Linked DNA regions of Callithrix jacchus. The protein of the gene in region 3 interacts with the protein of the main gene of each other region in a biochemical or structural test. Links are inferred from orthologs where the notes say so. Each region holds a gene or a part of one and is shown on either strand. Other genes may lie near its edges. The genes, in order: CRIPT, PTEN, DLG1, PBK, EVI5, MAPK12 and ARHGEF16.

What was found.
Region 1: the proteins of DLG1 (region 3) and CRIPT form a complex in vitro, tested with the Homo sapiens proteins (3 studies listed by BioGRID and IntAct, with this or other methods). The link is inferred for Callithrix jacchus from reciprocal best matches to the Homo sapiens genes DLG1 and CRIPT.
Region 2: the proteins of DLG1 (region 3) and PTEN form a complex in vitro, tested with the Homo sapiens proteins (2 studies listed by BioGRID and IntAct, with this or other methods). The link is inferred for Callithrix jacchus from reciprocal best matches to the Homo sapiens genes DLG1 and PTEN.
Region 4: the proteins of DLG1 (region 3) and PBK form a complex in vitro, tested with the Homo sapiens proteins (2 studies listed by BioGRID and IntAct, with this or other methods). The link is inferred for Callithrix jacchus from reciprocal best matches to the Homo sapiens genes DLG1 and PBK.
Region 5: the proteins of DLG1 (region 3) and EVI5 interact in a test that uses a peptide from one of them, tested with the Homo sapiens proteins (2 studies listed by IntAct, with this or other methods). The link is inferred for Callithrix jacchus from reciprocal best matches to the Homo sapiens genes DLG1 and EVI5.
Region 6: the proteins of DLG1 (region 3) and MAPK12 interact in a test that uses a peptide from one of them, tested with the Homo sapiens proteins (2 studies listed by IntAct, with this or other methods). The link is inferred for Callithrix jacchus from reciprocal best matches to the Homo sapiens genes DLG1 and MAPK12.
Region 7: the proteins of DLG1 (region 3) and ARHGEF16 interact in a test that uses a peptide from one of them, tested with the Homo sapiens proteins (2 studies listed by IntAct, with this or other methods). The link is inferred for Callithrix jacchus from reciprocal best matches to the Homo sapiens genes DLG1 and ARHGEF16.

Annotation. Positions count from the first base shown.
Region 1 is NC_133515.1:68,132,468-68,136,577, forward strand, and holds the start of CRIPT (cysteine-rich PDZ-binding protein), read right to left. Parts: upstream 2,801-4,110; 5' UTR 2,702-2,800; coding exon 2,686-2,701; intron 1,265-2,685; coding exon 1,199-1,264; intron 446-1,198; coding exon 391-445; intron 1-390. Other genes in the region: PIGF (GPI ethanolamine phosphate transferase, stabilizing subunit), read left to right, coding at 3,202-3,456. UniProt on the Homo sapiens protein: As a component of the minor spliceosome, involved in the splicing of U12-type introns in pre-mRNAs. Involved in the cytoskeletal anchoring of DLG4 in excitatory synapses.
Region 2 is NC_133513.1:80,555,628-80,559,127, reverse strand, and holds part of PTEN (phosphatidylinositol 3,4,5-trisphosphate 3-phosphatase and dual-specificity protein phosphatase PTEN), read right to left. Parts: intron 3,036-3,500; coding exon 2,811-3,035; intron 1-2,810. UniProt on the Homo sapiens protein: Dual-specificity protein phosphatase, dephosphorylating tyrosine-, serine- and threonine-phosphorylated proteins.
Region 3 is NC_133516.1:25,083,307-25,086,806, forward strand, and holds part of DLG1 (disks large homolog 1), read left to right. Parts: intron 1-537; coding exon 538-579; intron 580-1,260; coding exon 1,261-1,296; intron 1,297-2,690; coding exon 2,691-2,741; intron 2,742-3,500. UniProt on the Homo sapiens protein: Essential multidomain scaffolding protein required for normal development. Recruits channels, receptors and signaling molecules to discrete plasma membrane domains in polarized cells.
Region 4 is NC_133514.1:13,889,492-13,892,991, reverse strand, and holds part of PBK (lymphokine-activated killer T-cell-originated protein kinase), read right to left. Parts: intron 3,281-3,500; coding exon 3,138-3,280; intron 2,572-3,137; coding exon 2,402-2,571; intron 1,187-2,401; coding exon 1,057-1,186; intron 1-1,056. UniProt on the Homo sapiens protein: Phosphorylates MAP kinase p38. Seems to be active only in mitosis. May also play a role in the activation of lymphoid cells.
Region 5 is NC_133508.1:130,484,138-130,488,081, reverse strand, and holds the start of EVI5 (ecotropic viral integration site 5 protein homolog), read left to right. Parts: upstream 1-1,144; 5' UTR 1,145-1,160; coding exon 1,161-1,211; intron 1,212-3,944. UniProt on the Homo sapiens protein: Functions as a regulator of cell cycle progression by stabilizing the FBXO5 protein and promoting cyclin-A accumulation during interphase. May play a role in cytokinesis.
Region 6 is NC_133502.1:218,838,445-218,842,502, forward strand, and holds the start of MAPK12 (mitogen-activated protein kinase 12), read right to left. Parts: upstream 2,801-4,058; 5' UTR 2,613-2,800; coding exon 2,488-2,612; intron 2,401-2,487; coding exon 2,271-2,400; intron 1-2,270. UniProt on the Homo sapiens protein: Serine/threonine kinase which acts as an essential component of the MAP kinase signal transduction pathway.
Region 7 is NC_133508.1:41,343,099-41,346,598, forward strand, and holds part of ARHGEF16 (rho guanine nucleotide exchange factor 16), read left to right. Parts: intron 1-1,277; coding exon 1,278-1,334; intron 1,335-1,821; coding exon 1,822-1,982; intron 1,983-3,500. UniProt on the Homo sapiens protein: Guanyl-nucleotide exchange factor of the RHOG GTPase stimulating the exchange of RHOG-associated GDP for GTP. May play a role in chemotactic cell migration by mediating the activation of RAC1 by EPHA2.

The DNA.
Region 1 (4,110 bases), on a different chromosome or scaffold from region 3:
AGGCTGATTAGGGAAACCTCTCCGAGAAAAGACCCTTCAGCTGAGACCCAAACACCAAGGAGCCAGATACGTAAGCTCTCAGTAAAGACCTCGAGGACACAGCAGCAAGGACAAATCTCTTTGGATGGGGGAGGCTTGGCAGAACCAATGAGGATGGCATATGATGAATGAGGAGGAGTATGGTACAATATGAAGTCAGAGGGGGACATACAGTAAGGAGGAATAAGGTAAAACCAGCAGGTTATAACAAATAGCTTGGTTCTGAGTGCCAGGAACCACCTAACTCTATGTTTTATTGCAATTGGAATGATGCACATCAAATTCACTCCAGTAGGCTTAACATTAAAAGAGTGAAAATTATATGACTTCTCTATGGATCCTCTTACCCACCTTGCTTTTTTTGAAGTCAAAGCTTTATTTTCATTCAGCTTTCTTCCACCACTTTCTGTATCAAAATAGAAGTTATTTTAAAGGGTTACTTCTATACATTTAACATATAACATTAAGAAGTTCATTCTCTGACTTTCTGCCAAACTAGTAGCCTATATCTAATTTTTAAATCTTCATTTAACAGTCAGGTTATTAAGACGCTGCTTAAAAAGAAAACATTTATTAGAGAAACAATAAAAATTTGTATAAAATACAATCATTTTATTTTTCAGACTCAAGGTAGTACCTTAGGAATGGGTCTATATTTACTTGATATACTGTAAAATCTAGAACCCACTACTTCAGTGTCATAGACCTTGAATGTCTATGTTTCTTTTCTTTCCCTTCGAAAACATACTTTATGTATTTAATGATAATGAAGGTAAATACTTCACTGTAAGTAATTAATGATAATGAAGGTAAAATGGGTTAAAGGATTTATTCAAGAATATAAAAACCAGATTTAAAAAAATTTCTCCTCAGAAGAGCGGAGAAATTAAATGCAGTCTCTAAATAAGCTGAATCAAATCAAATATTATGATACTGTCACCACTTGACAATCATTTAATAATTTTGCTATCTCCTGATGTTAGGAACCTGTACAAGTAACAGAACTAAGTAGAAGATATTAAATAACTTGGGGACCCAGGATTCTTTCATGTTTAATAGACAAAATACTTTGAACACATTTCATTTTACAAATAACGTAAAAGATAAAATATTCACAGGAGTCTCTGGTTAAATTCCTATTTTCTAAAAGAAGAAATACCTGTGGTATTCCTAGCACCATCTTTCCATGTATCTGGAGTGATAACAGTACCAAGTTTCTTTTCACCTGTTATAATAAGATAGTAAAAAGCAATTTAAAATTTAGTATTTCATAAGTGCATCACATTGTGCCTAAGGTTCACAATGGTATCAACAGTCCTATTACTGCAGGAGCCTGTTAATGCTGGGAGAGCAGTCAGTGAACTGAGACTTGTATTAACTGTGGGCAATGAATGACTGATCCACAGTAAAATCCGTAGGATAATAAGATGGCTTATAATAAGCTTTCTCTGTTTGTTTATACTTTAAACAAATCTGGCAAGTCTATTTGTTCCATACATATTTACTAAGCATCTATGATGTATAAACTATACAAATTACTGAAAAAAATAAGTGATGAATCAGACAAAATTTTAAAGAGATTATAGTACAGTAGTTTAACAGCAATCTTTAATCTATGTTCCACAGGTCGATCTTAAGAGATATGTGAACAAGGCAGAATTGTACACAAACCTTTTATATATCTTTTTTTTTTCTTTCCTGGCAAGAGTCTATAGCTTTCTTCAGATTCTCAGAGAGAACCTGAGAATCATTCAACCAAAATATAAGCTAAAAATTAAACGGTGTAATAATTGAGAGCTAAAGTACTAGGTGAAATTCCATGCAGGAAGATATAACCCTGGCTAAGGAAATCCAAGAAAGTTTGGGGAGAAGGCAAGAGAGAGGATTTGAATATGTGGCAATAGGACTGTGAACAAAAAGGAGTAAAGAGGATAAAGGCAGACTGATAAAGGACACATTCTGAGGAAAGGCATGGAAAGCTCCGAGTACACATGGGCACAAAGGGTAGTTACGTTTGGTCAAAGTGTGAAGAGGGTAAGGATCAGTGAAGATGAAGCTGGAAAAATAAGTTGGGGCCTTATTGCGGAGGGTCCTGAACGTCAGGCTCCAAATACAGAATCCCCACATTGTTCTCTGCACACTGAGAATTTATTAAAGGTGTTAAATTAGGGAAATAGTAACTTGCACTTGCGTTGATGTTCAATTCACACATCTTCTGGGCTTACTCTAAGCCATATTCTGGCATAATGACTAACAGGAATGAGTAAGACGAGGTCCTTGGTCTTTGGTTCTAGTGTGTTACATGAATAAAAAGGAAAGGTCAGGAATTGCAAGAGGGAAAGGTGTGATTGGGGTTTAACTGAACATTTTTATACGGGAGGGGAGCTGATGAGATCTGGAGCTGGGGGAAGGCAATGGAAATAGACAAGGAGATGCAGAACTAAGACCATTCTGAAAACAAAATATACTATAGGACTATATGGTCTTTGGGGAGGTGCAAAAATGGTCAAAGGGTAGAGCAGAAGGACAGCGACTAGAATCAAAGATGTGGGCGAAGAAAAAACAAAAGAGAAGGCAGAGTTCCCGGGAGAGTTCATTTAGGTTCCCCCAGTTTCTTCCTCCCGCAGGAGGAGCCCCTTAACTCACATTTTTCGCAGACCATCCTTCCCCACGACGGTTCCCCTAGCCGCAACAGCAGCAGCAGCAGCAGCAACAGCAGCCCGAAAACATCAAAACTAAAACCCGGACGGCTTCCCCTTCCGGGCTACGTCAACCCACTTCCGGCTTCTAAGCACGCCGCTCCGGTCTAGCCCAAACTTGGAAGGCCGCGGGAGGAATGAACGGGAGCGTCTAGGCGGGGCTGCCCCATCTGCCCGCCCCTCTCTTTCTGCTACTGGCTATGCGGCCCTGGATCTCCGCCCCTTAACCCTGCGCTTGCGGGTGGGCCTGGGTAGCACGTCGTACCTGATGGTAGGAGGCAGTAGTTCCCCGCTTCCCTTCCGCGGGTGGGAGAGTTAGGTAAGCCCCAATGTACGCCCCCGGCGATCTCGCCCCCCGGGGTGCAAGCCACCCCCGCGAACTGCCGTAGCAGCCGTGAGCCTTGGCGTCCCGGCCCGCCCGCTCTCGCCCTCAGCTCGAGCGCCACTCTTCCGGCGTGCTCTGATGGACAGACCCCCCCTTTCGGATCCGAGTTTCTGCCTCTGTCCCCCAGTTTTCCCTTGTCTCCAACTCCCGTGCTCTTTGATCCTGCCTCTCTGCTGGTTCCTGGCTGTCGACGCTCGCGCCGGCCTAGGCTCGGGCAGAATCCCGAGCGACCCAGGTTGGGGTGGGGCTGCCAGTGAAGGTGCGGCGATGCCCGCGAGGGCTCCTCTGGGGGCCGCTCGGAAGCGCCGTCTCTCTGCTGCGGTGCCTAGCGAGGTGGGCCAGGTCATACCCGTGGCACCCTTGTAGGTGTCCTGGGGGCACGCCAGGGCCTAACACGGTGTGGGTTTCCCAGGAGAGTTAGTTTCCCACTTTACATACTCTGGTTCCTTCATTCGTTCAGCAAACATTTGAGTTTGGTTCCTGCTTATTGTAGGAGCATCTCCTGTTGGCAGCTGCGATTCCGAGGGTGGCTCAGAAAAATGGATGAAGGGTTTGTTGTGAGGATGGATTCCTGATGATTGCCCTCCCTCAATCAGCTTAAGATAGAATCTATAGGAAACTTTCCCTTTGTCCCTTCTTGCCATCCGTTTCCTTCTCCATCCCTTTATTTCGTTGTACCAGAGAGAGGGCTGTAGCTCTTGAGAACTTGGACCTCCTTACCTGTTTGTCGTGTTTCCTTATCAGTAAAGTATCTGCCTTTGAAAAGCATTGGGTGAATTAAGTGAGAGCAATTTTTTAAATTGCATTTTAGGTTTTGGGGTACATGTGAAGAACATGCAAGATTGTTGCATAGGTACACACGTGGCAGTGTGATTTGCTGCCTTTCTCCCCTTCACCTATTATAAGGTCCAGGTGTTTTGAAACAAATACATTGCCCATAGGAAATTGACTTTATGACTTATTTGTAGGGGTTGAAACATTTTGGAC
Region 2 (3,500 bases), on a different chromosome or scaffold from region 3:
ATTTCCGTTTTCAAGGAGAGGTAGCTAAGGCCCAGAAAGGTTAGGGAACTTGTTAAAGGCCACATATCTATAAATAGTAGGTAGTAGATTTGAGATGTAAATCAGATCTGACTTCAAATCCCTTCTTCATTGTATTATATTGACAGCCCCTCCCTATTATCCAAGAGTCATTATCAATTATTCTTCTCTTACAACCAACATCCACTCCATCAGTAAACCCTTTTAGTTAATCTGACAGCTTCTTGTTACCTTTCACTGCCACTATTCTAAGCAGTGAAGGGCAACAAGAAGAAAACATCATCTCTCACCTTTACTAAACTATTCAAGTGCCTCAACTATCTCTCAGCTTTAATTATTACCCCTTCTCCCTACTTTCCTCACTTATCTATATTTTGAAAGCATAAACACAGGGAGTATTAAATGCAAAATTCAGATTATATCCTTCCTATGCTGAACACACACAAGTATCTTTACACATGGACTGGTTTTCTTGTCTACTCTGTTTTAGTCAAAATGACTTATCCACTCTTCAAATACACCAAGCTCCTTGCCTAAAGGCTTTTGCATCTCTACTCTTCCCTCTTTTCCCAGATATTTGCATAACTCACTCATATGATTTAGGCTCTGCTTAAATATTATGTGCTTGGTTGGGCCTTCTCTAATCATCCTAGCTAAAAAACAAAAAACACACAAACCAAGATTATTCTCTCTATTTTTATAGCACTTACCACAATATGACATTGTATTTGTTTACTAATAACAGAGCTTTTATTTGTAATCACAAATATAAAAATCTTGCAATATTAAAACAGAAAACAATAAAACTAGAAGGAAAAGATAGTTTAAAGGTTAATGGTTAAGCAAAATGCAGATTTAGAGAAAACAAAGGAAACCTGTAGATTTTAAAGAAAATGTCTTTCCTGGAGGAAATGATGTTAAGTAAAATCAGTCAGGTACAGAAAGATCAATACTGCATGTTCTCACTCACATATGGGAGCTCAAAAAGTTGAGCTCATAGGAGTGTGGTTATTAGAGGCTTGGAAGGGAGGGAGAGGGGAGGATAGGAAGATGTTGGTTAAAAGATTAAAAATTACAGATAGGAGGAATAAATTATAGTGTTCTACAGAACTGTAACGAGTCAACAATAATTTATTGTCTATTTTCAAATAGCTAGAAGATAGAATTTTGAATGTTCCCAACACAAAAAAATAACAAATGTTTGAGGTAATCCATATGCTAATTACCCTGATTTGATCATCACACACTGCATACATGAAAATATCACTCTGTATCCCATAAATATGTATAATTATTATATATTAAAATTTTTTTAAAAAGGGAAACTTCTCAACACTTAAATTTAAGAGCTAAAGGCATTTAATATTAGATCTATTTTCACTTAAAACATGTAGGGGCCCCTTTACTGATTTTTAAGTATTACTATTACTAGCAATTTTTTTTTTTTGGCGGGGAGACAGAGTCTCACTCTGTCACCCAGGCTGAAGTGCACCAGCGTGATCTCGGCTTGCTGCAACCTCTGCCTCCCAGGCTTAAGCGAGTCTCATGCCTCAGCCTCCCAAGTAGCTGGGATTACAGATGTGGGACACACACCCAGCTAAGGTTTGTATTTTTAGTACAGACAGGGTTTCACCATACTGGCCTTTTAAACTCTTGGCCTCAAGTGATCCACCCGCCTCAGCCTCACAAAGTGCTAGGATTATAGGCAAAATATTACTAGCAATATTCTTAATACTCAGAAGCTATAGATTTGTTACATATTATAAAAACTGAGTGAAAAATTAAGAGCGAGAGTAAAAAAGAGAAAGAAAAGAGTATGGTGAATGGACAGGGGGAAATCAGGTAGAATAAGAAATAGGAAAGCAGAAGAAAAAAATGGCCAATAACCATTTTGGAATGTTTTACAAATCAGAGTTTTTCAATTTGAAGAATTCTTGTCTATAAGTAGATATATATACCTAGGTACAAATATACGTATCACATATAGACAAAAATGAGACAAACCAAATAATTCTAAGACACAAAATAAGGAAATAGGATCTTTTAAGAAGCATAACAGGGGAGGACAATCAGAGATATGAGATTGAAGCTAAGGCTGGAAATATGAAGACAGCTATGTGAAGGACAGGGAAAAGGCTGGGATAGAAAGGTACAGGGAGAAGGAAAAGAACTGGAAAGATTAGAGGCAGAAGTTAGCATTTTGCAGAACTGAAGAGAGACCAGTATGTCTGAATCTCAAGAAGCAAGGAGAGAAGGTGACTAGGGCTGATGTAGGAGGTAGGCCTGTGCTAAATTATGCTGGTCCTTGTAGGTCATGGTAAAAAAAACAAAAAACCCAAGGTCTTTATAAAGTGAAAACAGAAGTGACATAATTAAACCTATTTTTAAGGCCACTTTCAGGGGTTGAGAATAAATTGGAAGGGAGACAGGAGTGGAAGCAGTAAAAACTTCCATATGAATCATTCCCAAATGACTGAGTTTCCATCCATTTCTTTCCTCTTCCATTCCTACTTCATATCCCAGTCATTTAACCCCCCTCCTGTACCTTTGCTTCAGATTTCACCAAACAACAACAATGAATTGGGAAAAGGAAAAATGCAGCTTTTCTGACTCTGTGTACATCGGGTATTTTATTAAAAACTTTCATGTTACTGGTACATAAACACTGCTTCTAAATAATACATAATTTAAGAACTTGTCAAGCAAGTTCTTTATCAGCTGTACACCTAGAATTAAACACATATCACATATACACAAATCATCAACCCCTACAAAATGTTTAATTAACTGACCTTAAAATTTGGAGAAAAGTATCGGTTGGCTTTGTCTTTATTTGCTTTATCCAGATCATTTTTTGTTAAAGTAAGTACTAGATATTCCTTGTCATTATCTGCACGTTCTATACTGCAAATGCTATCAATTTCTTGATCACATAGACTTCCATTTTCTACTTTTTCTGAGGTTTCTTCTGGTCCTGGTATGAAGAATGTATTTACCCAAAAGTGAAACATTTTGTCCTAAAAAAAAAAAAAAAAAGAGAAAGAAAATTATTTATTTTAATATTTTACTCTTTAAAAAAATGTTACCCATATTAAACATTTGCCAACAAGTCAACAAAATAAACTATCATTTGATATATTCAAAAAAGGTAAACACTAAGACTATTATATGGCAATCTGAGTTTTCTGTTGCATTTTTGTTACATGATTTTTTGTCACTCAAATTTTAAATCAAAAATATAATCTTGCAAAATCTAAGATAAATTACTTTTGTCTTAAAATTTTAAGCAAAAAACCTCTTTTCTAATCTAATACTAGCTTTAAAAATGGTTTTGTTTTATGTGTGCATACATATAAACAAAATTCAGATATGAATTTAATTTTTTCTGAATTTCAAAAGAGCTAAATATTCCAAGATTTACCTTAACAAAAGTTCTTGGAAGGTAAGTGCAACTTCCCTGATGATGCACGGCAAATACATGT
Region 3 (3,500 bases):
CAGAAAAATTGACTTTCATTTTCAGAAACAGGAGTGGAGCTGGACTATAAATAACATCGTCTATTTATTTTTAATTACAAAGACCTCCCTTCATTAAAATGAGGATCTATTTCCTTAAATATAGTTTGTCCCCTTTGCTAGTTACTGCTGTTTCAAAGACTGAATTAGATAGTGCCAACAATATTTTCCCTTTGAGTTGTATATCTACATTTAGACTAATTCAGGATCATTTTGCCTTTGTTATATTCTACTCGCTATTTATAGTAGAGACTTGTTCATAAACTGTGTTGTACAAAAATAAGGCACTGTCCTTAATTACAGGTGTTTTCCCTTGCTAATACATATTTATTTGAAAAAATTAAACCTTTCAAAGAAAAGAAAAAATGCTTTTAAATTAAAAAATTATTTTGTTATATATGGCTTATACCTCAACATTTTATGTCACCCTCTTTTATTTTGATTATTTGCTTTTATCAGCTTTTTAAACTCATGACACTGTGTTTTCTTTATTTGTCTTCCATTGTCCTGCAATTTCAGAGCATGTAACTTCTAATGCCAGCGATAGTGAAAGTAGTTACCGTAAGTGTCTTAAGTTACTTGTTCTTTTATAATTTCAAGTAGTAAATCCTCAGCAGGGGTGGAGGGATTCTTAGTAATATGTTCTAAAACCCTAAAGTTAATATGATTGATATTAAAATCAGGAAGAGCCAAGTAAAATTTTGTGCTTGAAAAAAATCATAATATGTAGAGGTTAATTTATAAAATTTTAATAAAATACTAAAAATAGTATTATTTGTGTACATAGTACATATATGTGTGTATATATATTTTTTATAAAAAGTAAATACTTATATGGGGGAAAACTTATATTTTGACATTTTGTTGAATTCTGTTTTTAACATGAGTGCTAAAATAATATTTTTCAGTAATGCTAAATTATAATTAGCTTTATTTCTGTTTTCATTATTTTACCAATACTGTTCTGGATCAAGTCATTGTTTATCACCAGCACTTGGTGAACAGAAGAAATAAGGAAGGAAACATTTTCAATGATTGCTCAGAAAATAATGCTAATTTCTCTTTTGATGTTTTATATTACATTCTTGGTTTTATTAAGTGAACTACACAAGCATGTGATGTTTTTAAACAGATTTGGGTGTGGGAGAAGGGGAAAGTATATAATGTTATCATTTGTAGCACCTTAAAAATTAAAATTGCTTTTCTAACTTTTTTTTTTTTTACTGCTGTCTAAAATGAAAGTAATCTTGATTACAGATGAGTACGGCTGCCCAAAAGGTCCATCCTGTTAATATCAGTCCCTAATACTTTTTCATGTTGACAGTATATACTTTTAACCATCACTCATTTGGTTGATTATTTTTCTACATAATAGTTACTTAATTTTTTTTTGGTGTGGAAATGATTTCTTGTATTTCAGCATTTTATTGCTTATAACCAGAATCCACTATAGAGTAGTGGAGTGGCTTTCTAGGCTAAAAAGAGGTAATGAAAGTATATACTGTCTGTCTCACCATTTGCATGAATTATTAAGGAGTGGAATATTCCAATTGCATGTGTTTGCTAGTATGTAAGCCATGTTTTACATCCAATAATTTAAAAAAGTTTATATTGGTTTTATATACTTCGATAATAAAATTAAAAACAAAGAAATACACACTTAAAGCAGAAAAGAATGTTTATGTCAATATATGGATTTAAAAGACTGCAGCTACATACATATAATATAAAACAATTGCAAAATTCATGGTAAAATTAATATAGGATCTTGATAATTAAAGAAAAAGTCTTCAAATACATTATCCAGTATTGATTGTTTTCATTGAACCACTTGGGTTAACACAGTCTTTTCTAATTTTGGGTGTGGGGGCAAGGGGGATATGTATTAGTTAAAAACTGCTAGAGTTTTTAATTTTGTAGTTATTTTCATTGGATTCAGATATAATTTGTAGACTCTTTAATTTAGAATATATCCTAAGCTCTAAATCTTTAATTTGGAAGCTTTAACTTCTTGTATGCTTTTAAGTTCAAAGCAGAATATATTTATCTCCTTTACTATCATGTGGTTTTTTTATTGGAAGGATTTAGTTTTGTCTAAAGCTCTTTTTGATTCACATTAAATTTCTTATTTTTTACAAAGTTTAATTTGTGAATTTTTTCATCAGTGAAATAGTGACAATAGTTTTACCTTTGTGTTTATAATTTTAAATTTTAAGGTAGTTGTAATTTTTTTAAATATACTGTTTTCAGTATTATAGTTGGTGAAAAAAGTAGCATATTTTTAATAGTAACAATTACCTAAGATGTATATATATATATATAGATAGAACTGTTCATTAAAGCATTAATCTTTAACAGAGTTAATAATTCTTAAATTCTAAATAAAGAAGTAGCACGTAGTATCACAAATGAAGATTTTAGATTTGATGATTATTTATTGATTTAAAAGCTCATTTATATTTTGTTTTACATTTAGCAAACTCACTTTTATGACTTTATGATTTGCCACTTTTATTTATTTTTTTTTACTAAATCTTGCCACAAAGTACCTCTTTCCATATCTTTGCCATTTTCTTAGGAAAGTTATAGTAATGTATATGTTGTTTATGAAGAATTAGACTAGCATCAGTTATCTTTATGTATTTTTCATCTGTGCCTTCACTTTCTAATAGGTGGTCAAGAAGAGTACGTCTTATCTTATGAACCAGTGAATCAGCAAGAAGGTTTGTGAAGCCTATTCATATTTTATAATCTTCTAGAATAATATATTTTTAATTTGGGGGAAAAAAGTCTAATACCCCCCAAAAATGTTATATGTAGAAATTTACTACATGTATTTTATGAAACATAGTTTATTCCATAGTATATTAGAATCTAGTCATTTCATATTGACTTTTATATTTGTGTTTTATTTCCTAAGCAATTTTTTTCAAGTGTTCTTGTTAACATCGCTATCTTCCAAATAACCCTTTTTTGAAAATCTTGGGAGCATCTTTGACCCTTCTCTGTTCCTCATGCTCCTCAGCTAATCAGGTTCCAGGCACTATTGTACTTCTTTCTTATTTATGACCTGCTCTTCGTCCCTTCTACCACAATGTTAGTTCTCGGCCTCACTCCCCATCTCCATTCTTCCAGCACGATCTTATGCAACCTAGAGTTTACACTTCTTTAGATCATCTTTCTAAAACACTACTGTGATTATATCACTTCCTACATCTAATTTCTCTTCTGCCCTTCTTTGCTCTGCTTCCTTACAATTTCTACTTCAAAACTGTCTGTAAAACACTATATGTTATTCTGTCATTTGCAATGTAAATAAACATAATCTGCTAAACTACCAAATTTAACTTTGAATTATCAAGTGTATGACTTCTAGCAGGAGACTGAGTAAACTTTAAGATCTTAGTCAAGATTATAAAACAGCAAATTAGGCATCTTTGGTTGACGGAAAAGGAAGATGGAGGAGGAAGAAAAAAATTCTT
Region 4 (3,500 bases), on a different chromosome or scaffold from region 3:
GCCAAAAATTAGTCAGAAGTGTTTTAAATTCCTAAAAAGTTGGGAGTTTTTGTTTTCTATTACAAATTTCTAGATTAACAGCACTGATGTTAAGGAATATCACTTATTAGACTTTATACTTTTTATAATCTGAAGTCTAAGAATATGGTCAATTTTAATACATACTATGGTGCTGAGAGAGTTGCCTTGCCATTTACTCACATCTTTAACATCCTTACATTTGTCTGTTTGATCTATTAAGGATTGAGAAAACTATACTTTAAAAACCCTCAGTTTTATTATGTTTGACAATTTATTCTTTTACTTCCTAAAGTTTCTACTTGGTCACAGTTATTTAGAACAACAGTTCTATTTTTATTAATGATTACAGACTTTTATTTATCAAGTCTGTAGCTTCATCCTGCCTCTTGCCTTCAACTTTTATTTCAGCTAGAAATTTAGGCATATATATGTTCTAAACAGCATCTATTAACCATTTGTTTAACTCAGGTTTATATAAAGAGACAAATTTAAGTATTATTTACTAAATAATACGTTGCAAGCAGAGGCTTTCTCTTGAGGCTCTTATTTCTCACCAAGAACAGATCTTAAATTCCCTGAGAAGCCAATGATCAGTATATACAGTAGAGAAGAATGAGCTGGGGTGGGCCAAGGGGCAAAGAGCTGAAGACCAGCCTTCATCAGCACCTCTCTTTCCTGCTTCAGTCTGGTTTCCTCTACCAGGTTCCTAAATGTTGTCGCTTTACTGATGCTGCTTTACAAACCTTTTACTTTCTATTCCCAGATGTTTTACTGCATAAATATCCCAATTCAGTTAGAAATCTTTCCCAAAGTTAACTCCAATTAAAATATACATTAATACTACTACCACTAATATAGTAATTTACAACGTACATGTAGCAAGGGAGAGGACTGCAGGCTTACTGGAAGAGAAAAAACAAGGGCTTTTTTACCATATACTTTAAAAAAAGTTTTTGATTTTTGATCCACGTGGACTTCTATATTTAAAAATGTAAACATTAAAAACAAAATTTTAAAACTTAGAGTACGACTTACCAGTCATATTTTCATCCAGTGGTAGAGAGACTCCTACATCACAGATTTTAATTGTTTCAAAATTGCCTTTAATTACAACATTTGAAGACTTTATGTCTCCATGAAGCAGTTTCTTCTCTTGGTGCAGATACTAAAATAGTAAGAAATTTAACACACATGAGCAGAAACATAAATAAAAAATGTAATAACCTCCAAATCAAAATAACAATTTGAACTCCCTAAAGTTTAAACTTGCATTTCGTTTGTTTTTTGTTTTTTGAGATGGAGTCTCACTGTTGCCCCGGCTAGAGTGCAATGGCACAATTTCGGCTCACTGCAACCTCTGCCTCCTGGGTTCAAGCTGTTTTCCTGCTTAAGCCTGCCTCCTAAGTAGCTGGAACAACAGGTGCATGCCACCACGCCTGGCTCATTTTTGTGTTTTTAGTAAAGACAAGCTTTCACCATGTTGACCAGGCTGGCCTCAAACTCCTGGCCTCAAGTGATCCACCTGCCTCAGCCTCGCAAAGTGCTGGGATTACAGGTGTGAGCCACTGTGCCTGGCCCAGCATTTCAAATTATTTGAAGCAAGAGAAGGGAACATCTCAGGTTATCTCAGTCTGCCACACTGACCAGAAGTCTAAAAGTTTCTTTAGGAATAGATATATATTTAAGCTAACTTTTTATACTTTATTTTTTTTCCAAGACAGAGTCTTGCTATTGTTGCCCATGCTGGAGTGCAATGGCACAATCTGGGCTCACAGCAACCTCCATCTGCCAGTTTCAAGCGATTCTCCTGCCTCAGCCTCCCAAGGAGCTGGGATTACAGGTGCCCATCACCATGCCCAGCTAATTTTTGTATTTTTAGTAGAGACGGGGTTTCGCCATGTTGGCCAGGATGGTCTCAATCGCTTGACCTCGTGATCTGCCCACCTTGGCCTCCCAAAGTGCTGGGATTACAGGCGCGAGCCATTGCGCCCAGCCCTTTTGTATGTTTCAATGTGTTTAGTCACAGTACTTACCACTGTGTTACAATTGCCTATAGTATTCAGTATAGTAACATTCTATACAGGTTTGCAGCATAGGAGAACTGGGCTATACCACATAGTCTAAGTGTGTAGTTGGCTCTACCATCTAAGTGTGTGTAAGTACACTATGATATCCACACGCACAGTGATGAAACTGCCAAATGACACATTGCTCAGAACATACTAAGCTACATACACATAAATGTAATTCGGAAGCAGAAATGTTAAGCCTATAGTTTTACATTAGCCCCTTTTTGGAATTGACTAGTAACAATATTCCACATTCAAAGATGTCCTGCAAAGTGATTATTTGCTCATTTAAAATATAATGACATAGTTACCTTTAACCCTCTTGCCATATTCAAAGCAACTTTTAAAATTATGGCTGCTGGAAAAGGATCTCGGCTGTCTTTATATCTTTCTTCTATTAAGTCATTTAGAGACTTTTCACCTCCATATTCCATAGCAAGACACAGACTGCCATCACTGGCTTCAGTAAAAGCACGATAACCTTAAAGAAAACATGACATTTCTTTGCTAATATACAGAAGAACAATAATATTTTTAAGTCCTTTATAGTAATGCGATTGAAAACATGGACCTGGGCTAACACTAACAAATATACAATGAAACGGCTACTACTTAGAAGACTAACTCAGTAGATCTCATTTAAAATGCCTTCAGTGTTTGCCAGTAGTACCACAAATTAAAATACTTTTGCTTTCCTTTGCTTCCCTAAATATAATGGTTTTGCCAGCCCTACTTGTATTAAAAATGAAATCCAGGAAAATTACCTAAATGGATTTAAATTATCTAAACAAAGATAAATTTTATATTCCTAAAATCTTCATAGAACTAGCAACATAATTATATCTATTCTCTTGAAGTTTAAATATATACTTATGCCTAAAAATTATATGCACAGTTTTATTTTAGGCTGATCACATTAATTTGATTCCCATTAAACATCCAGCCCCATCCTCTTCATTTCTATTAGTGAAACCAGTTAAGAGAGCATATAAGCTGTTTCTGAATAAACAATGATGTACCAGATACTGCCACCAAATTTAAACTTACCAACAATGTTTGGATGATGAAGGCTTTTCAAAATCTTAGCTTCATCAATTAGTCTCTTTTGATACACATTTCGATAATGATCATTACATATAGGATTAATCTTTTTTACAGCCCAAGGAGAATGAGACAAACCTCTTGGAGATCTAAGAAAATTAAAAAGGATAGAAAACAACAAAAGCCACAATACTTTTTTAAAATAATTAACAACTTCCAAATTTGGCAGGGGGGGAACTTGAAGGTAATTTGTTTTAAAAAATAGTATTTGACATATTTTGGACTATGAACACCTCCACTACATTTCCATTTCAATTGGGAGATCTAATATACTGAGAGAAGTCTTAGTATCTTCACAGTGGGGAGGAT
Region 5 (3,944 bases), on a different chromosome or scaffold from region 3:
CCAAATAATAGTTGCCTCATGTGGAAGCACATAACATTACATAACATTATTTCTGCCACGTTGTAGGAGCTGAAAACGTTACTGTCATTCCTCTTAGGAAAGTATCTGACACAGTTGAATATCTTTAATATATTTGTCAATAAATGAAGGAGTAAATAAATGAAGCATTCTTAGTGACTGGCTTGGAGATTCACTTGCAAATGGGGATAACAATAGGATTATTGTTTGGAAACCCTTTCTGTGGAGAATCTAAAAACACATTTCCAGCCAAATGATGAAGATTAAGTGAAATGATAGATGAAAAGTGCTTCCACAGTATGCAGCTATGGTAAGTGCTTTAAAAGCACAAGCCATCACCAACGTAGGGGTGTGCACCTATAATCCCAGCCACTTAGGCGGCTGAGGCAGGAGGATCACTGGAGCCCAGGAGCTCAAGTCCAGCCTGGGAAACATAGTGAAACCCTATCTTTAAAAAACAAAACAAAATTCAAGCTATCATGAGAGAGGTAATTCTTTAAAACTAATATATCAGATCTAGAAAAGTACTGAAGAAGTGGCTTTATTTAGGTACCTCTCACAAGGTATATTATTTGCTGCTATATTGCATAGTAAACTCTCAATGGCCCCTGAGTAACAGAGCTGTAACATTCATTAATAGAACACGATAGCCTGCAGAATACCAAAACCTCAGGTCAGGAGTGAAAAAAAAAAATCCAAAGAAGAAATTTCTACCAAATTAATAATTTTGTCTAGTGCCAGAAAACGCCTAATTATAGAAGTTTCTGGCCAATGCCTCAGCATCGACACTCAAATACAATAACAATTATAATGTCATTCTGAGATAAATCAAGTCATGGAAGGAAAGAAGAAGATGGAAGGAAGGAAGGAAGAAGGGAGGGAGGGAGACGGGGGGGGGCGGAGAAAAGAAGGGAAGAAGGAATGAGAAACCAAAATCAATTAGTATGCATAAGACCAAAAAGCTTTGTTTTCAGCATTCTTAGTCCTCCACATTCCCAGCTCCCTACTACCTAACAAATGTATAAGGTGGAACTGAAAGGGTGTTAAATGGGTGGATCCCAGTGGCAATGTCGTTAACACTCCCTATGAGTCAGCTATAAATGCAATTCAAATCCCCAGCCTCCCTGTCTTCTCTGCTTATCATGGTTACCACCAAAATGACTGCTGCCTTTAGAAACCCTAGTGGAAAACAGGTAAATGTGTAAAACAATGTTTGATTTTATATTAAAACTTACAAAAATGTAATTGCTGTAATAGAAAGTATTTTGTTATTCAGCTAGGATTTGTATATTTCACTTAATCTTCAAAACACAGGAACAGCTTGTTAACATTTCTTCAGTTTTATTTTAAGAATGTTATCTTATTGTATTGCGGCCATTTGAGTGATGAACAAAATTTATGAAATGTTAGGTTTAATTCCACACCTGCAAGAAAGGTATTTTAGTAACTGTTTTTTTGTAATTCAACACTTGCCACAATTCTCTCCTTGCTGTAATTGGCTGCTGTTTATGTTTCTTTGAATACACATTCACAGAGGAGAACTAGTGTGTCTGTATGGGCTTCAAATTTCTCATATGGAGAAAAAGAAAATGACTGGTTACCATAGCATTTGTTCACAAACTCTATTTGGTGGCAATGTTGATGGTTGCATGGCCTTTCAACGACGGTTTCAGAAGTGTTGCCTCCCGTCATGTTTGGGAACACAGTTCATAATAAAGGCTACATTAATTTTTCTGTAAGGTATCATGTTCCTAATATAGTTTCCTTGTTTTTTTTTTTTTGGTGGTTGTGGGGGAAGACTGCTAATTAACGTTAGCTAATGTTTGTACCTGGCTTTAATTAGACCATTTTACAAGAAATAAAAACACATCTCATGTCGCATCTATGATTGGGACTCTCATTCTTATTTGCTTGATGAAGAGACTGAAGCTTCAGAGGTTAAAAGCCAGACAATTAGCAGGTGTCAAAGTCAGGATTCTTCTAATTCATTCTTTATTATTTATCTGTCTTTTTATTTTTGCACATTGGTGCTTTGTGGCTTTTGAAAATAGCAATTGCAATAGCTACTATTTTTGAATACTTCTTACATGCATGGTATATATTATTCTACCTAACTGTCACTTCAGTGCTTAAGTAGATATTATTATCTCCAGTTTATGGATGAGAAGATTGGAGTTCAAAGAACGCAAAAGGGTTGATCACATTTTTGGCAAGAACACTTAAAATTTTAGGTCACAGGCTAGTCACTTGCATCAATGTAGAAGTTACTAGCTCCCAGATAATTGGACAGTTTAAGTGGAATACTAACTCTAGTTCCACCAGATTTTATCTTGCTTTAAAACAAGTATTTTGGAAAGTCAAGCAATGAATGAACTTCTTTTGGTGGGTAGGGTAGAAATTAGCACACTATGGATGTCCCATTCTGGTGGCGCAATTTCAGAAATTTTTTGGGCTGACAGTGTTAATGTGTAGTATCACATATAGAAATGATGTCTGAGCTCGAGAGCCAGAGAGCTTGTTCTTTCCCACAATCATGGCAGATCTAGTCTCTACCTGTGCACAAGTATCAAGAGATTGGCTGGGCGCAGTGGCTCACGCCTATAATCCTAGCACTTTGGGAGGCCAAGGTGGGTGGATCACCTGAGGTCGGGAGTTCAAGACCAGCCTGGCCATCATGGTGAAACCCCATCTTTAAAAAAAAGAAAAAAAGATATAAAAGCAAGAGATTAACAGAATTGTGTGTCTCTTAACAGTGTTATTTCCTAAGATGATGTCAGGGTCTTCTAAAGAATGAATATGGTGGAGGTAAAGTGGTGAAATTGAAGGTTTTTTTTCTTTTTTTTTGAGACAAGATCTTGCTCTGTTGCCTAGGCTGCAGTGCAATGGCATGATCTTGGCTCACTGCAACCTCTGCCTCCTGGGCTCAAGTGATCTTCCCATCTCAGCCTCCCTAGTAGCTGGGACTACAGGTGCATGCCACCATGCCCTGCAAAGTTAAAGCTATTCTTATAACTCCAGTGCATGGTGGCCATAGCTTTTTATTTGAGTACCTTTCAGATTTGTATACTAGAAAGTAATGAGCCTGGTAAGATAGGCTGTTACTATTTTACTGTGAGCCTTCATTTAAAAAAAAAAGTTTTGAACATTAGTAGGTGTTGAAATAGAGTATTATGTCTCCTTTTTCTTTAATAGTGCTACCAATAGGACTTCCTGTTGGATGGAAATGTTCTATATCTGTGCTGTTAGACAGTAGCCACTAGCCACGTGTGCTATGACTGAGCACTTGAAGTATGTGAATATGACTATGAAACTGAACTTTTAATTTAAGTTTATTTATTTTTGAGACAGGGCCTCACTCCGGCACACAGGCTGGAGTGCAGCGGCATGATCTCAACTCACTGGAACCTCCACCTCCTGGGCTCAGGTGACCCTCCCACCTCAGTCTCCAGAATAGCTACAGTTGTGCCACCACACCTGGCTGAGTTTTTATTTTGATTTTTGTAGAGACAGGGTCTGACTATGTTGCTCAGGCTGGCCTCAAACTCTTAGCCTCAAGTTATCCTCTTGTCTTGGCCTCCCAAAGTACTGGGATTACAGGCATGAACCACCACGACTGGCTTAATTTAAGTTTAAATGTAAATAGTCACATGTGGCTAGTGTCTCTAGTGGCTGCTGTATTGGACATTGCAATCCTAGAATGTGCCTGAGATACTCTGGTTCTCTAAAAAAGCTCCAAATACCAGGTGCCCAGGGTGAGGGAGGAATATTGCTCACCAGTGGGTTTGACTTCTCTGGTGAGTCCTCCTTTGTACCTTGGGTTGTTTTTGCCTTTCAGAGGAAGATCTCCTTTGATTTCCTTTCTGTGAGCAATGGAGCTGACTTAAACACCGTTGGCAGTTTAGAGCATGGTGTTTCAGGGTTTAATC
Region 6 (4,058 bases), on a different chromosome or scaffold from region 3:
CGTGACCAGTCAGACCTGGTCCCCACAACGCCCCTGGTTGGGGAGACGGACAGTGGACAGGTCATAAGATAACTGCCACCTCAGCATTTTGGGGTGACAGGGCCTCCAGGGTCCCAGAGAGGCCTGGAGTTTTGCATAGCCAAGGACAGAGGAGCAGGTGGACGTGTGGACAGAGGGAAACTGGCAGAGGGCACACACAGAGTAGCCGAGGCAGGAGGGAAAACACTGGGAGAGTTTGAGGAACAAAGGGAGGGAGGCCAGGTGGCCGAGGCCCAGGCCAGGGAGGGGCTGAGGAGAGGCCAGAGGGAGCCGGCAGGAAGCACACACCAGGTGAAGGTTTGGCTTTGATCCCAAGAGACAGGGAAGGATTTAAACAGGGGTGTGATGCTAAATGTGTCCTGGCTGTGGTATAGGGACCAGCCGGAGTGAGGCAAGAATGGGCACAAGCTGGAAGGACAGCTCCACTGTAGCCACGTGGGCCAGAGCTGAGGGCAAGAGTGTGGAAAGAGAAGGAACGGTGGGTGGGGCGAGGTCTAGGGAGGCCTGGGAGCAGCCGGGACTGCAGTCATGAGAGCTGGAGGGTGCCTGGGAGAGTGGTTTAGCCCACGACGGAGAACAGGGTCCTGTGGGCTTGGGGCCATCAGATGGATGGATTTGGCCTCTGTGGTATGGGGGCCCGCCTGGAAACGTCAGGACTGGGGCCTGTGCCAGAGCCTCCTCCCCAGCTGAGCAAGGCACATGGCCTTGCAAACCCTTAGTCTCCCAGGATGATGGCGTTCCAGGGGAAGAGCCGAAGCTGCAGGCCAGGAGCCCAGGGGGTGGACCCACAGGCACAGCGAGCAGTGACTACAGAAAAGCCCTGGTGGCTGGGCGTGGTGGCTCACATCTGTCATCCCAGCACTCTGGGAGGCCAAGGTGGGCGGATCACCTGAGGTTGGAAGTTCCAGACCAGCCTAACATGGTGAAACCCCAGCTCTACTAAAAATACAAAATCCCCCGCTGGGTGTGGTGGCGCGTGCCTGTAGTCCCAGCTACTTGGGAGGCTGAGGCAGGAGAGTTGCTTGAACCAGGGAGGCAGATGTTTCGATGAGCCAAGATTTCACCATTGCACTCAAGCCTGGGCAACAAGTCTCCAGAGAAAAAAGAAAAGCCCGGGGCTCTTGGCTGGACAGGGGCAAGGAACAGACAGGTGAGTGGGTGGGTGGGGCCAGGGGGCTGCAGGGGAGGAGCTGGATAAAACCAAGGGTGGGGGCGGGTACACTCCTGGGACAAGGCCTGGGTGTGACTTGGGAGGTGGTGAGATGGCGGCGGTACTGCTGTCCACCACAAAGGGGCTTCACAGGGCCAGGGGGGTGAGCTGGGGTCAGGGTGGGCATGGGAAGCCTCAGAGAAAAGCACCCACTCAAGGGCTGAGGGAGTGGTGGGGGCAGTCTGCTGGTGGACGCAGGGACTCGTTCTCCCAGGGCGCTGGTGGCTTGGATGACCCAGGAGGGTCCAGAGCGTGTGACCCTGAAGCTAGGGTCCAGGAGCTCAAATGGCAGGGCAGGAGTGACGTGGGGGGCAGTGAACAAGTGGAACTGTGTCCAGAAACGGGAGCGCCCCTGGCAGAAAGGTAGGGCTTTCAACAGCCAGCCACAGCCATGAGAGAGGCCCAGGGCAGCTGTGCATCTCATGGGCAGGGCTGGAAAGGATGGGCCCCCACCACCACCCAAGGAACGGGAGGGTGTCTGTGTGATGGCCACCGCACCCAGTGGCCCCCAAACCCCAGCTCCCTACACCCTGCACCCCCAGGGGCTCCTGAGGGTCCAACACTCCCTACGTTCTGGACGCGCCCCCCTCGCCCCCCGCTGGGTCAGAAGACTCGGGAAATGGACCGCAACAGAGTGGGCTCCACAGAGGAGCTGGAGAGGGGTCCGGATGGGAAAGAGGGGAGGTGCCCCTTCCAGGAAAATCGGCCCACTGGGAGCGTCCTCTCACCACGGGCTTCCTGGCTGGGGGCAGGGTTTGGCATGAGAGCTGGAGAATCCCTGAGCCTGGCCAACTCGTGTCCCCTGACCAGGGCCTGGCTGAGGCGCGGAGTTGAGGGGGTGAGTCCTTCCCGGGGCTGGCAGAGAAGACGGGGGCTGAGCCCTGCTCTCCTCCTCCCCTGGGGATCCACGGCCCGGTCCCCGCCCCGCCCCGCAGCCGCCTGCTGAGGGGGCGTCGCTGGGTGGGGAAGCCGAGCCGAGCCGTGGTGCGGCGCCTTCCCGGAGCGGGGCCGCGCGACTCACGTTCTCGTGGCGCATGTGCTTGAGCAGGCGCAGCTCCCGGTAGGCGCGCTTGGCGAACAGCTCGGACTGGAAGGGCCGGTACAGCTTCTTGATGGCCACCTTGGCGCTGGTGCGGCTGTCCACCGCGGAGCTGCGGGGCACACGCTTAGCGGGAAGGCCGGGCACCCCGCGCAGGCCCCGCCCGCCCCGCCGGCCGCCCCACCCGGCCCGCGCTCACCACACCGCGCCATAGGCGCCCGAGCCCACGGGCTGCAGGTCCCGGTACACGACGCGCACCTCCCAGGCCGTCTTGGTCACCTCCTGGCGGTAAAAGCCACTGCGGGCGGGCGGCGGAGAGCTCATGGCAGGCCCGGGAGCCGCCCACTCCGCAGAGCCCGCGGGCGGTTCCCCCAGGACCGGTAACCCGGGATCGGCGGGGCTCCCTCGGCGCGCGCCCCGGGCCCGCTCCGCGCGGCTTGTCCGCCCGCCCGCCCGCCCGCCGCTGGGGCGCTCCTGCTCCCGGCTCTTCCCGCAGGGATGTCCCAGGTGCCAACCCCTGCCCGACCCCAGCCCCGACCCAGGCAGCGCACGGCCCCTCCCCCGCCCGGGGACCAACCGGCCCGCGGGCCGCGCGCACGTGACGCCCTCGCCCGCCCTCCGGCCCCTCCGGAAACCCGAGGCGGCCGCCGCCGGGGGAGGGCCGGAGCCTGGGGGGAAGCGCAGGGGGAGGGGAGCGCCGCCCCGCAGCTTTGTCCGGACCTAGGGCTGGACGCGGCGCGGAGATACCCATGCCAGCCTCTGCCCTTTGGCTGAACTTCCCTGCCTTGGGGGGTGAGGAGGGGCGTTCTCAGCAGGATCCCCGCCGGGCTCCAGTCCTTACTCCCCACAGTTCCAGGCCCATCCGTGACAGCCTGAGAACCGACTTGGGTCTGCAGCTGCAAGTCACTGTCCCCCTGCCCTGAGTTCCCTGGGCTGAGCCCTGTGTTCCCAGGTTCACCCCCAAGGATACCCTGCCGCTGTGCCTGACCATTGTCCCCGCACGTGGGGTCCACCTGCACCTGTCCTGCCTGCGTCCCTGTCTCCCAGACTCCTCAAGCTGCATGCCCAACCCCACTGCTGTGGCCACTGACCCTGGGCCTCCCAGTCCCATAGGTCCCCGTGGGCCCTCCTGCACCCCCAGCTCCTCCCCTTCTCTCCTCTGTGGGGTGCTTGTTCCACGCATTGCAAGTGTCAGTGCATCTGCCTGTCCCACCCCTGCCTGTTCCGTCCTGCAAAGCTCATGGCTGCACTCTCTCCTACAGGGACGAGGACCTGCTGGGCCCTCAGCCTGTCCCCTCCGTGTGGGCATCATCCTCCCATCGGTCTGGCTCCATCCTGGACCAGATGCTTCAGAGTGAAAAGCCCCACCCTGACACCCCTTCCCCAGCCCAGTGATCTGGGTCTCAGGAAGGATGGGGGGTGCACCCCTGGAACCCACTGGGTTGGTGGGTAACAAGTTCCCTAGGGCCCCCCGCCCGCCCTCCTGCCATGAATCAGCAGCTCAGCCGCTCAAGGGTGGGAGTAGCTTTACACCTGGGCTTCCGGCTGTCTGCGGCATTCACCAGCTGGTGACCAGTGAGCCGGGGTAGCCCGGGGCTACCCAAACCACAACTGGCTGTGGCCTGCAACCTTTGTGCCCTGGGCTGCCTGTGGCACTCCATCCACGTCTTCCAGGAAGCCCTGCTTCCACTGCTGTCCCCCTCACTCCTCATGGTGGGGCTCAGGGGTCCAGCAGGCCCCACACAGACCAGGCATCTGAGGTGGGGCTGT
Region 7 (3,500 bases), on a different chromosome or scaffold from region 3:
CTGCTCAGACTCCCCTCAGGGAGCTGCAGGCACCAGGAGTTTCTTCCCAGGAAAGGGCTAGAGGATCTGCTGGAGGAGGCAGCCGGGATGGGAGTGGCTGGGGCTTAGAGCTGGCACCAGGGCCAAGCCACCCCTTCGCTTTTCACATCGGAAAATGGGGGCTTGTCCCCACCCTGTGGGGTCTCAGTGGAGAGCATGGCCCAGAGCAGTCCTCGTGCTTGTGGGGGTGGCTGCTCCTGCCCCAGGTGGACCGCACATGACCCCTGCTTGAGGGCCTAGGGAGGGTACCATGTGTGGCCGTGGGCGTGGCGGGCATCAGGGAGGGCAGGCTCCCACCTGCAGTACAACGGGGCTCCTTGTTCTTCATCTGGAGGGGCTGGCACTGTAACCGCCCACCATGTTCCATGGCACTTCGTGCCCCAGGACCCTGGCCAGGGCAGACCCAGCGTGGGGTGAGGACAGGCAAAGAGCAGCCCCCTCACAGACAGAAGGGTCTGGAAGTGCAGGTTTACTCCACTTTGGAGCTGGGCATGTGTGGTCTCCTCCTGTCTGGGGTGGGGTTCAGCACTGCACCCTGGTAACTGCAGAGATTCCGGCCCCTCATGGGAAGGAGGCACTGGCTTGGGGGACAGGGACTCGCTCTTGGACAAGGTGCTGTTGGCAGCCTTTCTGCCCAGCCCAGTGAGGAACAGAGCACAAAGCAGGGTGACCCGGGTCCTGCAGAGGGGACGCCGGGCAGTGTGACAGCCCGCTGTACCTGACGCACTCTGCCAAGGGAACCACGCTCCTGCCAAGGTGACCCACCAGCTGTGGCCCCTGAGGAGAAGGGAGCCGGGTGGGCACAGCATCACCCATACCTTCACTGACACCTCGCCCAGGTGGGGTCTGGGTCAGTCCTGCCCTCCACATTCCCTCGCTGGGTGGGCCCTGCATCTCTCCATCTGTTGGGAAGGTCTTTGGGATGAGAGCCCCTCCTGCCCTCTGGCCTTTCCCTCTGGATGCCCCATGTTCTTTTCTGGGCTGCTCTGGGGCTCTTTGGAGGGGTTGGGCCTGCTCATCAGCATCCCCTAGGAGGACTCCACAGAGAGGAAGGTGGCAGGGACAGGTTGGCTCCAGGGTCAGACTTCACCAAGCCCAGCGGGGTGGCTGTGGGTGTCTGCCCAAGCCCCTGCCTCAGCTGTCTATCAGGAGGTCCATCAGGAGGAGGACAGAAGAGAGACTTTAGCACGGGCTTCCAGGACATGTGACCTGGAGCTCCTGGGCCTGTGTCCCCCCAGGTGATGGAGTCAGGCATCCTGGAGCAGCTCTCCACCGAGGAGCGCAAGAGGCAGGAGGTGAGGGCCCTGGGCGGGAGGGCCACCCCACCATGGCCTGGGCCACACCATACCCGGGGAGGGGTAGCAGCCAGGTGGTACTGCCAGCCTTCCCTCTGTGGCCACCTCCAGCGCCAGGCCCCTGTCCTGATGACCAATGCCTCGAACAGGCCTGGCTGTGCCTCTACCCATGCTGTGCCCTGATGGAGCCCCTTTGTGTCACCGGGTGAATCCTCAGAGTCCAGCCGCTGCCATCACCCTCTTTTCCAACGTGGACGGGGTTCATTGCCCAGCTTCATGCAGCTCATAAGGCACCCAGCCAGGGGCATGCAGGGAGGTCAACCTGGCATCCCCAGGCTGGCTGTCCTGACAGGCCCATCCAGGGGTCTGTCTGAAGCTCCTGTCCCCACCTGCCCCTGCCACCTGGGCCACATCCTCTGAGCATCAGTCCCTGAGGCACGCCCGCATCCAGTGTCACTGTGGGGCTCACCCAGGCCCCTTTCCGCAGGCCATGTTTGAGATCCTCACGTCCGAGTTCTCCTACCAGCACAGCCTGAGTATCCTGGTGACAGAGTTCCTGCAATCCCAGGAGCTGCGGGCGACCATGACCCAGATGGAGCATCACCATCTCTTCTCCAACATCCTGGACGTGTTGAGTGCCAGCCAGAGGTAAGGCCTCACCACAGCCTTCCACACAGGTGCCTCTGTCAAGAAGGCGCCCCCCATCCTGGGCACCACAGCAGCATCAGCAGGACCTGGGGAGCCTGGGCTTCACCTGATGGGACAGTTTGGGGCAGCTGCCACGGAGCGTGACAAACTCTGATGGTCCTTGAGGCCATGGAGAGCTGGACCCAGGGCCAGGCCAAGTGCTGGGCTATGGCGTCCTGGTTGCTCGTAAGATGTGGAGCACTTCTCAGGGCTACAGCCCTGCCACACTGCCAAGTGCCATTCACCAGGACACCCAGGCACAGAGGGCTGCATGACCCAGGCAGTGGTGCTCACAGCTGCTCACCCGTAGGCAGGAAGTTTCAAGTTGCAGCCCTGGGTCATGTTCCACCCAAAGGTGTCTGGTGGCTGGACCTGGGCTCTGGTTGCAGGGCCTGGAGCTGGAAGAGTCTGGAAATGCAGCTGATGCAGCTACAGGCCAGCATGGGTGTGTGTCCACAGGTGTGCGTGCATGGGTGTGCATGTGTGTGCCTGGGCAGGGTGTGTCCACAGGTGTGTGTGCATGGGTGTGCATGTGTGCACAGGTGTGTGCCTGGGCAGCGGTGTGTCCACGGGTGTGTGTGCACGGGTGTGTGCCTGGGCAGGGGTGTGTCCATGGGTGTGTGTGCATGGGTGTGCATGTGTGTACAGGTATGTGTGCCTGGGCTGGGGCATGTGCATGGGTACACGGGTGTGTGCTGGGCAGGGGTGGGTCCACAGGTGTGTGTGCATGGGTGCACAGGTGTGTATGCCTGGGCAGGGGTGTGTCCACGGATGTGCATGGGTGCATTGGTGTGTGTGCCTGGAGAGTGGCTTGGGAGCATTTGGCACCCTGGTGTGTGTGCATGGGTGTGTATGGATGGATAGAGATGCATGTGCATGGTGTGTGTGCCTGAGCAGGGGTGTGTGCAAAGGTGTGTATGCATGGGTATGCGTTGGCATGGGTGTGTGCCTGGGTGTGTGTGCGTGCATGGACGGGGTGTATGTTTATAGGTGTGCGTGGGCAGCTGTGTGTGCATGGGTGTGTGTGTGGGTGTGCATGGGCAGAGGAGTGTGTGCATGGATGTATAGGCGTGTGTGTGTGCATGGACAGGTGTGTGGCAGGGGTGTTTTTTGTAGTGGTGTATTACGTAGGTGTGTGTGTGGGCAGGGGTGTGTGTGGTCTCCATGTGCTGCCCCTAGATTCAGGAGGACCCTGGGGCATCATTTAGTCCTCTGAGCCTTGGCCTCAATGTTAACCTGAGGGGCAGCGCCTCTGGCCACTTCATGGGCTTGGGCGATGCTGCAAGATGATTAGGGACCTGTAGTGCCTGGTACGGGGTGGCCCCAACAGTGGTGGCTGCTGGCTCATTCTTATATCAGCCCCACCCCTGGCAAGTCCCACCCATCTACTCCCTGTGGGGTGCCCTTGCGGAATTTGGGGACCCTGAGGGTGGACTGGGAGCCACCTTATTCCTGGAGGCAGGGGCTTTCTGTAGAGCT